3 linked regions of the Nothobranchius furzeri genome follow. The protein of the gene in region 1 binds, or shares a complex with, the protein of each later gene. Links are inferred from orthologs where the notes say so. Each region holds a gene or a part of one and is shown on either strand. Other genes may lie near its edges.

The links.
Region 2: nup93 (region 1) and nup62l share a complex: the UniProt entries of both Homo sapiens proteins name them as parts of the p62 complex. The link is inferred for Nothobranchius furzeri from reciprocal best matches to the Homo sapiens genes NUP93 and NUP62.
Region 3: the proteins of nup93 (region 1) and nup35 are in contact, whole or in part, in a crystal structure (PDB 7MW1), measured with the Homo sapiens proteins. The link is inferred for Nothobranchius furzeri from reciprocal best matches to the Homo sapiens genes NUP93 and NUP35. Residues at the interface, in NP_055484.3 of Homo sapiens: Tyr266, Tyr269, Asn402, Ala407, Asp408, Lys409, Thr410, Glu411, Tyr413, Tyr448, His452, Phe453, Val455, Asn456, Leu461; in NP_612142.2 of Homo sapiens: Ala88, Pro89, Pro90, Val91, Arg92, Ser93, Ile94, Tyr95.

What each region holds. Positions count from the first base shown.
Region 1 is NC_091744.1:86,665,176-86,669,402, forward strand, and holds the start of nup93 (nuclear pore complex protein Nup93), read left to right. Parts: upstream 1-1,289; 5' UTR 1,290-1,444; intron 1,445-2,501; 5' UTR 2,502-2,505; coding exon 2,506-2,684; intron 2,685-2,858; coding exon 2,859-2,976; intron 2,977-4,227. UniProt on the Homo sapiens protein: Plays a role in the nuclear pore complex (NPC) assembly and/or maintenance. May anchor nucleoporins, but not NUP153 and TPR, to the NPC. During renal development, regulates podocyte migration and proliferation through SMAD4 signaling.
Region 2 is NC_091754.1:20,876,557-20,880,443, forward strand, and holds nup62l (nucleoporin 62 like), read right to left. Parts: upstream 2,646-3,887; 5' UTR 2,455-2,645; coding exon 1,012-2,454; intron 932-1,011; coding exon 773-931; 3' UTR 594-772; downstream 1-593. Other genes in the region: pdk1 (pyruvate dehydrogenase (acetyl-transferring) kinase isozyme 1, mitochondrial), read left to right, coding at 3,444-3,552. UniProt on the Homo sapiens protein: Essential component of the nuclear pore complex. The N-terminal is probably involved in nucleocytoplasmic transport.
Region 3 is NC_091754.1:38,657,265-38,661,473, reverse strand, and holds the start of nup35 (nucleoporin NUP35), read left to right. Parts: upstream 1-1,299; 5' UTR 1,300-1,420; coding exon 1,421-1,433; intron 1,434-1,621; exon of another isoform or gene 1,622-1,724; intron 1,725-2,442; exon of another isoform or gene 2,443-2,644; coding exon of another isoform or gene 2,645-2,657; intron 2,658-4,209. UniProt on the Homo sapiens protein: Functions as a component of the nuclear pore complex (NPC).

The sequences.
Region 1 (4,227 bases):
CTGGAGAGAAAAAACATGGATATAGATCATCAGTAATTATTTAGAAATTGTAAATCCAGCTTTAGGAGTAACTAATGTCAAATTCAGGTAGATGGTTTAACAGAATGTATTTATTGAGTATTAGAACTATTTAAAAAGATTATTATGAAAAAGTTATTTTTCTAAGTCCAGTTTTTGGATCACAACAAAATTAGATGATTTTACAATATTACACTTTATGAATCAGCTCTTTGACAACTATGATGTAAAAAAGGAATATCAAAAAGTAACACGTGTTAAACAGTGGTTCACAAGAACTTGAGCTTTAATAAAAAGGATGATTTAGAACAATGCGTGCCAGAAAAGATCACAACGTTGTCGCAAGATGTCAGATAAAAAAGAGCTTTCCATTCTCTGGTGGTGTTTATGTTTTTAAAATAGCATCAATATGTGAAGGCATCAATAACTTACTATATACTAGTATAAATACAAGCTCATTCATTAATTTCTATACCTTTTATTGTTTTTAAAGGAGGACATGTTGAGTTTATATGGACATTTAAAAGAAAAACTTCTGTGGCACGTTCTTTCACTCTTGTTTCAAATAATGTCAGATTTTTCATTTCTAAATAATTTTGTGCCACTTGAATTATTTCACTGACAGAAACGTATGCAGCTCATGGAACAAGAACAAAATAAGTTTGTGTGAAGATTTTTGTTTTATCACAAAACGTCACACAGTTGTGCAGCTATGTCCATGTGCCCATAAACTGTGTTACATAATGAAGTAGCTCTGGGGCTTGTGCCCCAGATGACCAGATCATTGCACAGTTGAGTCTGGAAGCAGGAGTTCAGCACCCATCTGCTCTTTGTGATTCACGCTTCAGTGTTTTTGTTTAGAGCCGACAAAAAAACAAACAGAAAATATCATTCCATTGGCTGCATTGTATTAGGTCATTTAAAATATATATGTTTATTAAAAGTATCAATTAAGACAAGTGGCAGGGATAAATGAAAAATGAAAAGATTTGTTTCATTTATTTCACGTGTACGGTGTTAGGGTTGTGATGTGTCCCAAGTATTTTACTCTCGATGCTTCTAATCATTTTTAATATAAGTTCTATTTAAAGCAATGCAGGGATACAAATATACGTACAAAGAACAAATATGTACACTGTTAAATATGTTATGTTAGTCGGAAAACAAAAAATGACACACATGAAAATAATAGGTATCTTTTGCTTTTGACTAGGATTCCCCAAGTACCCTGAAGGAGGCATGTGACGACAGACGCATGCGCACCGTTATACAGTCTGAATTGACCAATCACCGACGACTTCAGAAATACCGGGGTATACTTTCTGCGGACTACGCTTGCCTGTGAACGAAACTATCTAAAAAGCACATTTATTCACTTACATGAGGCGAACAGGCTGAACTGTAATTTCATCCAACTTTAAAACAGGTATAATAATCGTCTCCATTCAACTGTAGAGAAATTTAACATCAATTTAAATGAAGTCGAAACATGTGCGAGCGTTAGCATCTTAGCCAGCTCGCTAACCGTTTAGCGTCGCCGGTTGATTGTAACTAGGCTATGTTGTAGCATGCTACCACGGTTTTGGAATGTCTGGTACGAGTTTTCACATTTCTTAAGCAGTTTCAATGTCTGAACTTATCTATCGAACGGTATTCTGTTGACGTCCGTAAAGATTGATCTCTCAACTCGTCAAGCACATCATGCGCGCGCTGCAACTGTTCAGCTGTAATCTTTCTCATGTTTACCTTTCAAGCCTTTTCCCCCATGACGCATTTTTACGTTGGTAGATAAATAGTACAGTTTGTTATAACTCCAGGCAGCATAAAGAATTATAGGTTAGACCATCCAATTTTTAAAAGTAGTGTTTTATATCTTCAGTTATGCTGTATCTCAATGTAAACACAGGGTAAACTTGTTTTTATTTAATTAATCAAAAAGCTGCAAGGCAAGGAGGAGCTTTTATCCATGCATCATAAAAGTTATAACGTGACTGTAGAAGTGCACACTTGTCTAAAGTGAACATTGACTTCTTTGGGCTCTGAGCTGACGCATCTAAGATGAATCATAAACTGTAAAACATAGAGTATGTTTTTGGGTTCAGTTGTTTTTTAACTAAGGAGTTTGAAATGATTGTGATTGTAGTTGTTTACTATTTGATTACGGAGCATCATGTTCCCTTCAAGACAGTTGCACTCTGTCATTACTGACAGAGATACTGGCAAGCTATCCTGTCATGTAATCTGTTGTCTTTAATTACCTCTAACACAAAGTCTGTACAGTGTCAAACATTGTAAAATCACAACGTATTTTTGTTTATATTCCACATACTATTTTAAAGTTAAGCAAATTATGAAAATATTATATATTTTTTAGTGGAATATTTTATTGCACAAACCCAGACCCGCAAAACACTTACCATAGAGAACTGTTCAGTGTTTTCATTTCAAGTAAATCACATTTATAAACTTCTCTACCTGTTAAGAGTCATGGATGCAGAAGGGTTTGGAGAGCTTTTGCAGCAGGCAGAACAATTGGCTGCAGAAACAGAAGCTGTGTCTGAACTGCCACATGTGGAAAGGAACCTTCAGGAGATCCAGCAGGCTGGGGAAAGGCTTCGATCCCGCACCTTAACTCGCACCTCTCAAGATGCTGCAGATGTGAAAGCGTAAGCAACCTTTTTGGTTATTAAACCCTTTTCTTCCCCAGGTTATTAATCTCAGGCATGATGTTCAATTGATAGATTACTTTGCCTGCCAGCCTAGCCTGCCATCTAGTGGTGTCAATGTAAAATTACTTCTCTGCCAGTTGAAACCTCTCCAATCTTTTGTTCTTGTAACAGGTCCATCCTCCTTGGTACCAGAGGTTTAGACGTCTTCCACATTTCACAGAGACTGGAAACTCTAAGTGCTGCCACCACCTTTGAGCCCCTGGAACCAGTCAAGGACACTGACATACAGGTATGAATGAAACGAGAAGCCTTGGGTCCTGACACCTGCTAGCAAGTCTCTAATGCTTCAGATGCCTTACTAGTGCAAGCCTCATGTAAGATGAATAAGATAAACTTTTAATGCTCTAATGGTTGCGTGTGCCAAGCCTTTTTAAACATCCCCAACAGGACTTAAGGCTGCCAAATGTTTTCTAACTGATTGCTTATATTATTCCCTTGACATCAGTGGAATATGATTCTGTGCTGTGACACAGTGAGGCTTTCAGGAAGGTTGATGTTATAGGGCTCATAACAAACACTGTAAAACTAGATAATTGTGATTAATTCAGTCTCTTATCAGAGATAAGTGAAAAGAAAAACACTTAAAATTCTGAGCTCAGTGTTGGAAATAATCCCCTTGGATTTTAGCTTGGCAAGCCATCATCTATCTATCTATCTATCTATCTATCTATCTATCTATCCATCTATTCATCTATCTATCTATCTATCTATCTATCTATCTATCTATCTATCTATCTATCTATCTATCTATCTATCTATCTATCTATCTATCTATCTATATCTATCTATCTATCTATCTATCTATCTATCTATCTATCTATCTATCTATCTATCTATCTATCTATCTATCTATCTATCTATCTATCTATCTATCTATCTATTATCTATCTATCTATCTATCTATCTATCTATCTATCTATCTATCTATCTATCTATCTATCTATCTCTATCTATCTATCTATCTATCTATCTATCTATCTATCTATCTATCTATCTATCTATCTATCTATCTATCTATCTATTATCTATCTATCTATCTATCTATCTATCTATCTATCTATCTATCTATCTATCTATCATCTATCATCTATCATCTATCATCTATCTATCTATCTATCTATCTATCTATCTATCTATCTATCTATCTATCTATCTATCTATCTATCTATCTATCTATCTATCTATCTATTATCCATCATCTATTATCTATCTATTATCCATCATCTATTATCTATCTATTATCCATCATCTATTATCTATCTATTATCTATCTATCTATCTATCTATCTATCTATCTATCTATCTATCTATCTGTCTATCTGTCTATCTGTCTGTCTGTCTGTCTGTCTGTCTGTCTGTCTGTCTGTCTGTCTGTCTGTCTGTCTGTCTGTCTGTCAGGGCTGGGGGTAAACGATTATTCTGACGATTATTTTATCGAATAGTCGAATATTCTAATGACTATTTAGACAATTAATCTAAT
Region 2 (3,887 bases), on another chromosome or scaffold:
GATGACAATGAAGCTCTTATTTTTAGCAGATTCTGCAAATTAGGACAAACTGTAGTCCATTTTTATATTTGTGACATGGCTGTTTAATTTCCTGGGAATTTTTTACTGTAGAAATGGTGAATTGTATTTTTTAACATTGTATTAGAATGAAAATCTCAAAGTGTTTTGCAACATACCTGTGAGGTTGGCCAACATGTTCTACTACCTTATCTGGAGCTGTTAAGAAAACCAATGCTTCTGCTTGTCAGTGCGCCCCAGGGCAGCTGTGGCTACATCGTAGCTCATCACCATCAGTGTGTGAATGGATGAATGATACACTGTAGTGTAAAGTGCTTTGGAGTCCTTACTCTGAGAGGTGCTATACAAGTGCGGGTCATTTATCATTTCTTGCACCCGCCTCCTTGTGTTTTTACATCTAATCTAGGGCTCAGGTAGAATTAAGCAGCTTGTAGATCATTACTGAGACAAATTACAGTTAAAGCTCTAAAATGATTAAGTAATTTAGATTATTTCAACTCAAAAAGTCTGGTAGATCTTTCATGTTTCAGATTAGATGTGAGAATTAGAGTCATGACACACCACATCAGGCTGAATGAGATCCACTGCAATTGTTTTATTTAATCACACTACCCAGAACATTTAATATGATCAATTAACTTTATAAAGAACTATTGAGAAAATATTTATCTTAATAAAACCAAAACAGAAAGTGAAATGAGTAAATCCAAACAAAAGAGCATAATGTTTATGCAGAGTTAAACTCATCAACAGATCAGTCAAAGGTTAAACGAAAGCTCTTCTCCTGCTCCTTGCGTTGGGTGTCGCAGAGTTTAGACACTTCTTCCACTCTTCTCTGCAGGAGAACCGAGTTCTGGTCGATCCACTGCAGCGAATCCATGTGGGCGTTGAGAATTTTACAAATCTGCTGGAGCTAAAACAGAGAGAAAGAGATGAATGAAAAAGGCAAACATCATAATGACAGGTTTAAGGATGACTTAGATCTGATCTTACTGGGTCACTGGAGTCAGCTGGGCCGCTGGATGTGTTCAGGTGCTCAATTATCTCCTTCAGGTCCTGAGACATCCTCTTCAGCTGTGCGTCTACGTTCTCAGCGAGCTTGTATGTTCTCTCACGCTCCTCATCGGCATTCTGCATGTAGATGGTTCCGCTCTGCTCCTTCACGGACTCCTCCAGCGGACACAGCAGGTCCTCCAGCTCCTTCTGCTGGGACAGGATGAAGTCCAGCTCCTGGTTCAGCCTCCTCTGGTCCAGCTTCACCTTCTCCAGCTCCTTGTGCAGGGATGTGATCTTCTCTCCGTTCTCCACCAGCATGCGGTCCCAGGCATTCACCTGAGTCGCTTGCTGTAAGAAATGTCTTTCTTGGTCCTCCAGCTCAAGACTCCACTTGTTTATGAGGCTCTCCAGCTGGGCATAGGTCATCACAGGAGGAGCAGTGGTGGTGGTGGTGCCGATTGTTGTGGCTGTTGTGGTTGTGCTTGTGGTGGATGTAGTTTTGAGTCCCAGTATGAAGCCCGTAGCTGTGCCTGTGGTGGCGGCTGCAGTTAGGATGGAGGCCGGAGCAGAGGTGGTGGTTGCTGAACTCAGAGGTTTGAGTGGGAAGGATAAGCCCCCTCCAGCTGCTGTGGTGGTTGCAGTGCTCACCGATGAAAGTGGAGCCGAAATTGGAGCTGCACCAAACATGAATCCTGGAGCTGCTGCTGTAGTGGCGGCGGTGGTGGTTATGGGTGTCGCAAACAGAGTAGGGCCTGGAGTCGGAGCCACCTGGGTGGTTGCTGTAGGGGCTGGGGTTGATGAAGGTTTAATCCCAAAGTTAAAACCTCCACCCTGGGTGGTTGGAGCTGCAGAGGCGGTGGTTGCAGGGGTTCCAAAGCTGAATCCCGCTCCTGTGGCAGCAGTGGGGGCTGCAGCTGAGGTCACCTGGACTTTGGGAGCACCAAAACTGAACCCTCCAATGGACATGCCACTTGCTGCTGTCGTGGCTGTGGGTGCTACCACTGACTGAGGCTGGACTTGTGTGGGAGCACCGAAGGTGAATCCTCCCCCGCTTGGTGCCACTGTTGCTACTGCTGGTGCAGCAGCTGGGGGCTGCGAGGTTAGCAGGCTGCCTAAGGTGAACCCTGACCCGGCAGCCGGAGTTGCTGCAGAGCCCAGACTCAACCCTGTTGCTGCCGGTGTTGTCTGAGGGGTAGCAAGAGCAAACGAGGCAGTAGGCGTGCTAAAAGACAACCCCGTGCCGCCTGCGGAACTCTTGGCTGGGGTGCCAAAGCTGAAAGAGGCGGTGGGGTTGGTCTGGTTGGCATTTCCAAAGGCGAACCCCCCTCCCGGAGCTGCTGAGCTGGTTAATGTAAAACCCGCGTTGGGGGCAGCGGCAGTGGTCTTCTGCGCTCCAAAGGCGAACCCTGCATTCTGTCCGAAGTTGAATCCGCCACTCATTATCCTCACAAGAAGTTAAACACAGCCGTTACGTGTCGTTTAAAACGGCCACTTCCTTGCCGAATCTTGTGGCTTTTGGCGGGTCGCTATGACCAACTCCTCCGACTGAAGTTCCTAAAATCCCCACTGCGTCTATTTAAGTAACTTTGCACAGATACGCAGGAAATGAATGAAATCACACGCTAATCAACGTTACCTTCCGAGGAATATAGAGCCAAAATCAATAACACATTGCTAAAAACGTGGGCCTGTGAACCGACATTTCCTTTAACAGGCAATTATCTGGCCACCTAAAGGAAGTGACGACACCCGAGACGCGGCATTCTCGTATGCCCTGAATTTTGTCTGCAGGGACATAATTCCGCCTATTAATTTATTTGGCAACTGTTTTATCCAATCAGAGTTATGATTAGATTTGAGGTACATGATAGGCTCATTTGACTGCCTGATAGACAAACATTCGGAAAAATATATAGTTTGGCCTTTACAAAGAGTATGCAAAGGCAAGATAGTTACAGAATAACGAGCACTATCAACTCTTCTTCTTTCATACACACGTGAATAAAAGACATTATTTAGGACATTATCGTGCATTTATACGTCTTTATTTTCGCAATTTACCGTCAATATTGACAATAATTTTAAATACAGCCTTTCAACAGAACTTCGTGTCGGTATACGCCAGGCAACAACGATGAATCCTCTTGAACTTTGTAGTAACTCTTTGAATTAGCTTGTTGACTTTTCTGCTTCGGTGGATTTAGCAGCGATCACTTGAAGTACACACCGGACGATACACAAACATTGCAGCGCGGCCGTAGTTATGGATGCTGAACCTGCATCAATTAGCAACGTAACTGAACAATAATAAATTTAACAGCGTGTTTGCGAGCTGCTGGGTTTGCTCAACGAGCTAGTGTCGTTAAATAACACTAAGTGTGGCTCGGAAGCCACCTGCTTCCTCCGAATAACTAGTAAACCCGGTCAACATGAGGCTTCTGAGGTTTCTGAGGAACAGCGTGTCAGTAGGGAAGGATATCGATTATTACTCCAGATTTTCTCCTTCCCCTCTTTCAATGAAGCAGTTTCTGGATTTTGGTGAGATGTATTCATATAACACTCTAGGGATGTAAAAATAATTCAATGCACTGAAATATCACAACATTTCGGTTTATGATACAGAATCGATATTTAAAAGCAGAGTATCTATTATTGAGAATTTACATGCCAACATTTCTTGTATTTCTTTTGTGTGGTGCAGATCAAACACTGACAGCTAGGTGGCAGCAGTTTCTTCCTCCTTCAGTCTGACAGACCGATATCTTGCGAAAACACTGGAATTGTCTGAGTTTTCCCAGTTAAATTCACTTAAAAATTGCAAAAATAGTCAGCCTTTTAGTATCTCAATATATCGTATCGTCTCTCCTGTATAG
Region 3 (4,209 bases), on another chromosome or scaffold:
CCAATTCAGGTCAGTTCATTAAGCCAATCAGAAATAATGTTTCCTATATAAGGAACCCAGCAAATTGCATCAAGTCACTGACTGGTGCGTGTGCTGGGATGGGGGAGGGGTGTCATTTTCTCTCTCTCTCTCTCTCTCTCTCTCTCTCTCTCTCTCTCTCTCTCTCTCTCTCTCTCTCTCTCTCTCTCTCTCTCTCTCTCTCTCTCTCTCTCTCTCTCTCTCTCTCTCATATTATTTATATCCACCAATAATATTAATACTATTTATAGCATGGATTGAAAGGCTTTGAGCCAAAGACGATATCAGACATTTATATGAGTCGTGGAGGATGGCTGCTTATACTGAGCCAGGATCCTCTGGAGGTTTCTTCCTGTTAAAAGGGAGTTTTCCTCTCCACTGTCGCTGCATGCTTGCTTATGTATGCGGATTGCTGTAAAGACTCTGACACTAGTCAGTGACTCGATGCAACCTGCTGGGTTCCTTATTTAGGAAACATTTTACTGATTGGCTTAATGAACTGACCTGTATTAGAATATTTTATTATGTGAAGGTCCTTGAGACAACTCGTCGTGATTTGGCGCTTTATAAATAAACTTCAATTGAATTGAGTGAATAATAATGATGCTGCTGTAAAATTCCACCTCCAGTCCACACCCAGACACAATTATTCTCTCTTCTGTCTCATGAACAGCAGCTGGGATGTTTATGCCCACAACACACTCCTCTGGTTTTGACTTTTTCTTTCTTGTGTTTGCTCCTCATCTATATTTCTGTTTGGATGCCATCTCTTCCACACCTGACTTGGTTGATCAGGTGCTGCATGCCGTTAGTCATTGTGGGAACTTGAACAGCATCATACAGTGGATGGCTGGTATTTACTTGGACACGGACAGAGATGGGTTTTCAGAAATCTCAGAGGTTTTGACTAATAAATGACCGGTTAAACTACCGGTAGTCATCATACCCTGGAAAAAAGGCCCCGGTACTAAAGCACTGGGATGTAGACGTCACACAAGGTCCTCCTATAGAAAGAGAAAACTCCCCCCAAGGATAAAAGTGTTATCACCAGAGGGAGGGGCATCCTTTTTCTTTGATATTACTCATTTGTACATCTTTAATTAAATCAACTACTACATGTTGACTTTCTGAGCTGAATAAACAAATATGTTCTGGTCTGACTGAAGGACCAAAGAGATGTTACTTAGCTCACATTATACAACAGAAGCCCACGACTCATCAGGGGATGGAGAGGAGTACCCACAGTAGTTTCTGCTCGTTAAACAACAACAGACAGCTACAGCTTATAAACTGGACTCTCCCATATTCCAGTCAGAACTGACAAAGCTCCTCGGAGGACAAGAGAAACGTCTTCAAGAAACCAGAGGAGTCCAGCTGCCTTCATCTGAACGCTTGGATCACCATGACCTGGATGAGTGAGAATCTGCACCAGAACACCTCACACTGTTTGTTTTACGTCCTTAAACACATACAAAAGTATCCACTTGTGCTAAGCTAGCGGATCATTTAGCTCTGCAGCTTATACGGCTGACACAACTAAACTGATTATCCTCTAGAGTTCATCTTATTTGTATTCAATCGAACAAAACTGTAGTTCCGTCACCTTTCGTGCGTTTTAACTCCTACACGTCCGAGATCCGTATCAGCGTCCGGCTCTAGCCGGCAACAAGCTAAGCACAACACAGCAAATTGCATCCGGTTATTGGTTTTCAAAATAAAACTCAAACAGCCAAGTAGCTGGTAGATGTGCAAATTAAGCAAAGTCTAGAAACGCGGTTCGTAAAACTGAAACGACTCCGAGCTGGACTAGTGTCAGGAAACAGAGCTAAGTTATGTGATGAGCAAGAGCCTCTAGTCCTCTACGGGCTTGTATGAACCAGAAAGATGCTGCTGGCTTTTATTTTCACAACACACTGACACATTTCAAACTACTTCTGGTGTGTTGATGAGCTTTAAAATTCAGGGTGTAATTATATGACGTGTAGTTGAGCGTGTTCGACAAAGAAGTTACAAAACTAGTGAACTACTCCAAATTGTATGTAATTAATCTGGCATGCCAGGCTAACGAAGCGGGATTTTAATGAAAACGCATTATTTTTTTACCAAACATTTACACTTGAGCACATTCTGCCCAGCACTGTGCTGACATCAGCCAAAAAAGCAAAGGTTGAGAGATTGTTTTGGAGTGGTTCCCGCTTTTAATCCCTTTATTTATTCAGATGAAAACTAAAATTCTTTATAAACCACAAAAGTTTTTAATGTGTGAACATAACTTTTAGCTTAAATTTAGAACACAGATGCACAGCTTTCATGCTTGTGGAGTCTCTCGTCTTCAAAGCACGGCAAGAGAAGAGGATGCGAAGTGCGAACATCTTTCACGAAACGCACTTTTGGTGACGTCATCCACGAGCGCCGGAAGTTATTCGGTGTTTACTCGTTCAATCAGAGTTCATATACATGAGAGAATTTCCACAAACAGGTTCGTTCCAACCGAACGGATCATATCGCGTTTGTAGGTACGGTTTGCTGGCAGGCTAGCTGTGTGTGCGACAACCGCGAGAAGTAAGAGCAGGAGTAGGATCGTCAGCGGTCGTCACTTCCTTCTTTTGAAAATCGCGGCATCAGAATGGAGTCACAAGGTAGATAAAAGTTTTCTACAAAGTTCTGGTGTTGTTTTCTTACTATCGGGGCTGGCTGCCTTTATATGCAGTCACATGCTTAGTCCCGTTTGCACCCGTAGTGGTTTCCCTGGAAGAATACTGACACGCGGCAGCAGGTTTGGTTTAGGACTTCAGATCAGCTCGTGGGTTTTATTCTAATTTGGAACCATTTTCCTGAACCCACTGCGAACCCACTTTGGTCACCATTGTTTATCTTCAGAATTTGACAATTTTCGTGCTGCTTTCATAACAGCCTTAACCTGTGAACGTTAGGACACAGCTCTCATCTTTTTAAATGTGGATCATTTCACTGAAATGCAATCCAAGATGATTATGATGCAGACTAGAGGCTGACCAACATGGTTTCTTAAGGAAGGCCGATACCAATTCTTAAAAATTTTTGTTGCCAATGGTCGATATCTAGAGCCGATTACACACACACACACACACACACACACACACACACACACACACACACACACACACACACACACACACACACACACACACACACACACACACACACACACAGTTTTAGCAGCACGTTGATTGTACTGGACACTAGCTGTGTGCACTATAAATTAAATAAGTCAATGAATCTCTTAGTTTTATATTTGAAGTTCAATAAATATTAACTCAAAACATAAAAAATGTGCGAACGTTTTCAGAACAATAGAAAATAAAACTGATTGAAGTTTTTTTTAAGTGTTTAAAATAAAGAAAATCAAACAGTACCCAGAATAATGGTGCAAAATAGCATCTGGTCGAGGTGGAATCTTCAAGCAAAAAAAAAAAAACTAAAGCACACTACCACATTGTATTAAAAAAATAATGTTTTAAAAAATGGTGCAAAACATCAAATTTAAAGGCATATTCCACTCAGTAGTAACATGCTGTCTGTTGATGGGTTTCTCAGAGTTAGATAAGTGAGAAAAAGGATTTTGTAGCTAGCAAGCTCAGTCATTCTCCTGATCTGGAAGCAGTAAGTTTCGCTTTAGCTTAGCATAAAACAATGTAAGTAAAAAGAAGGTTCTATGCTAGAAGCTTCTAGGATGAGAAGAAAAAAAATAGATCCTTTGCTATACCCTTAAATGTAGCTGCTGTCGGTGACAACCTAACATTAAACTCTCAACAGGCTAAATGGTTCAAAAAGCAAAAATAATCTCAAGTCTGTGTTGTGAGATTTTATTTTATGATTATAGTGGTAAGGATTAGCTACATTTATGAAATGATCAATAAGATGTGATATTCCATATAAATCTGAATTATATATCTGATTGGCCTTTGAATATTTGAATGTAATAAAGTGAAAATGAGCCTATTTCAACTGTGTTTCAGCAATTTACGTGTTTCGTTTTTGGCTGAAAATCTTCTGTGGCTGAGCTTCGGTGCATCCCTATTGGACATAACTTGCTTCTTATTGAAATTGAGTCCGTGCTCCTTTGGGTATGACCAACAGAATAAGATCACTGATGCAAGCGGCTGAAATGAGAGAGCTGCAGAGTGCTGCTTATTCGTGCGCTGCAGGCAG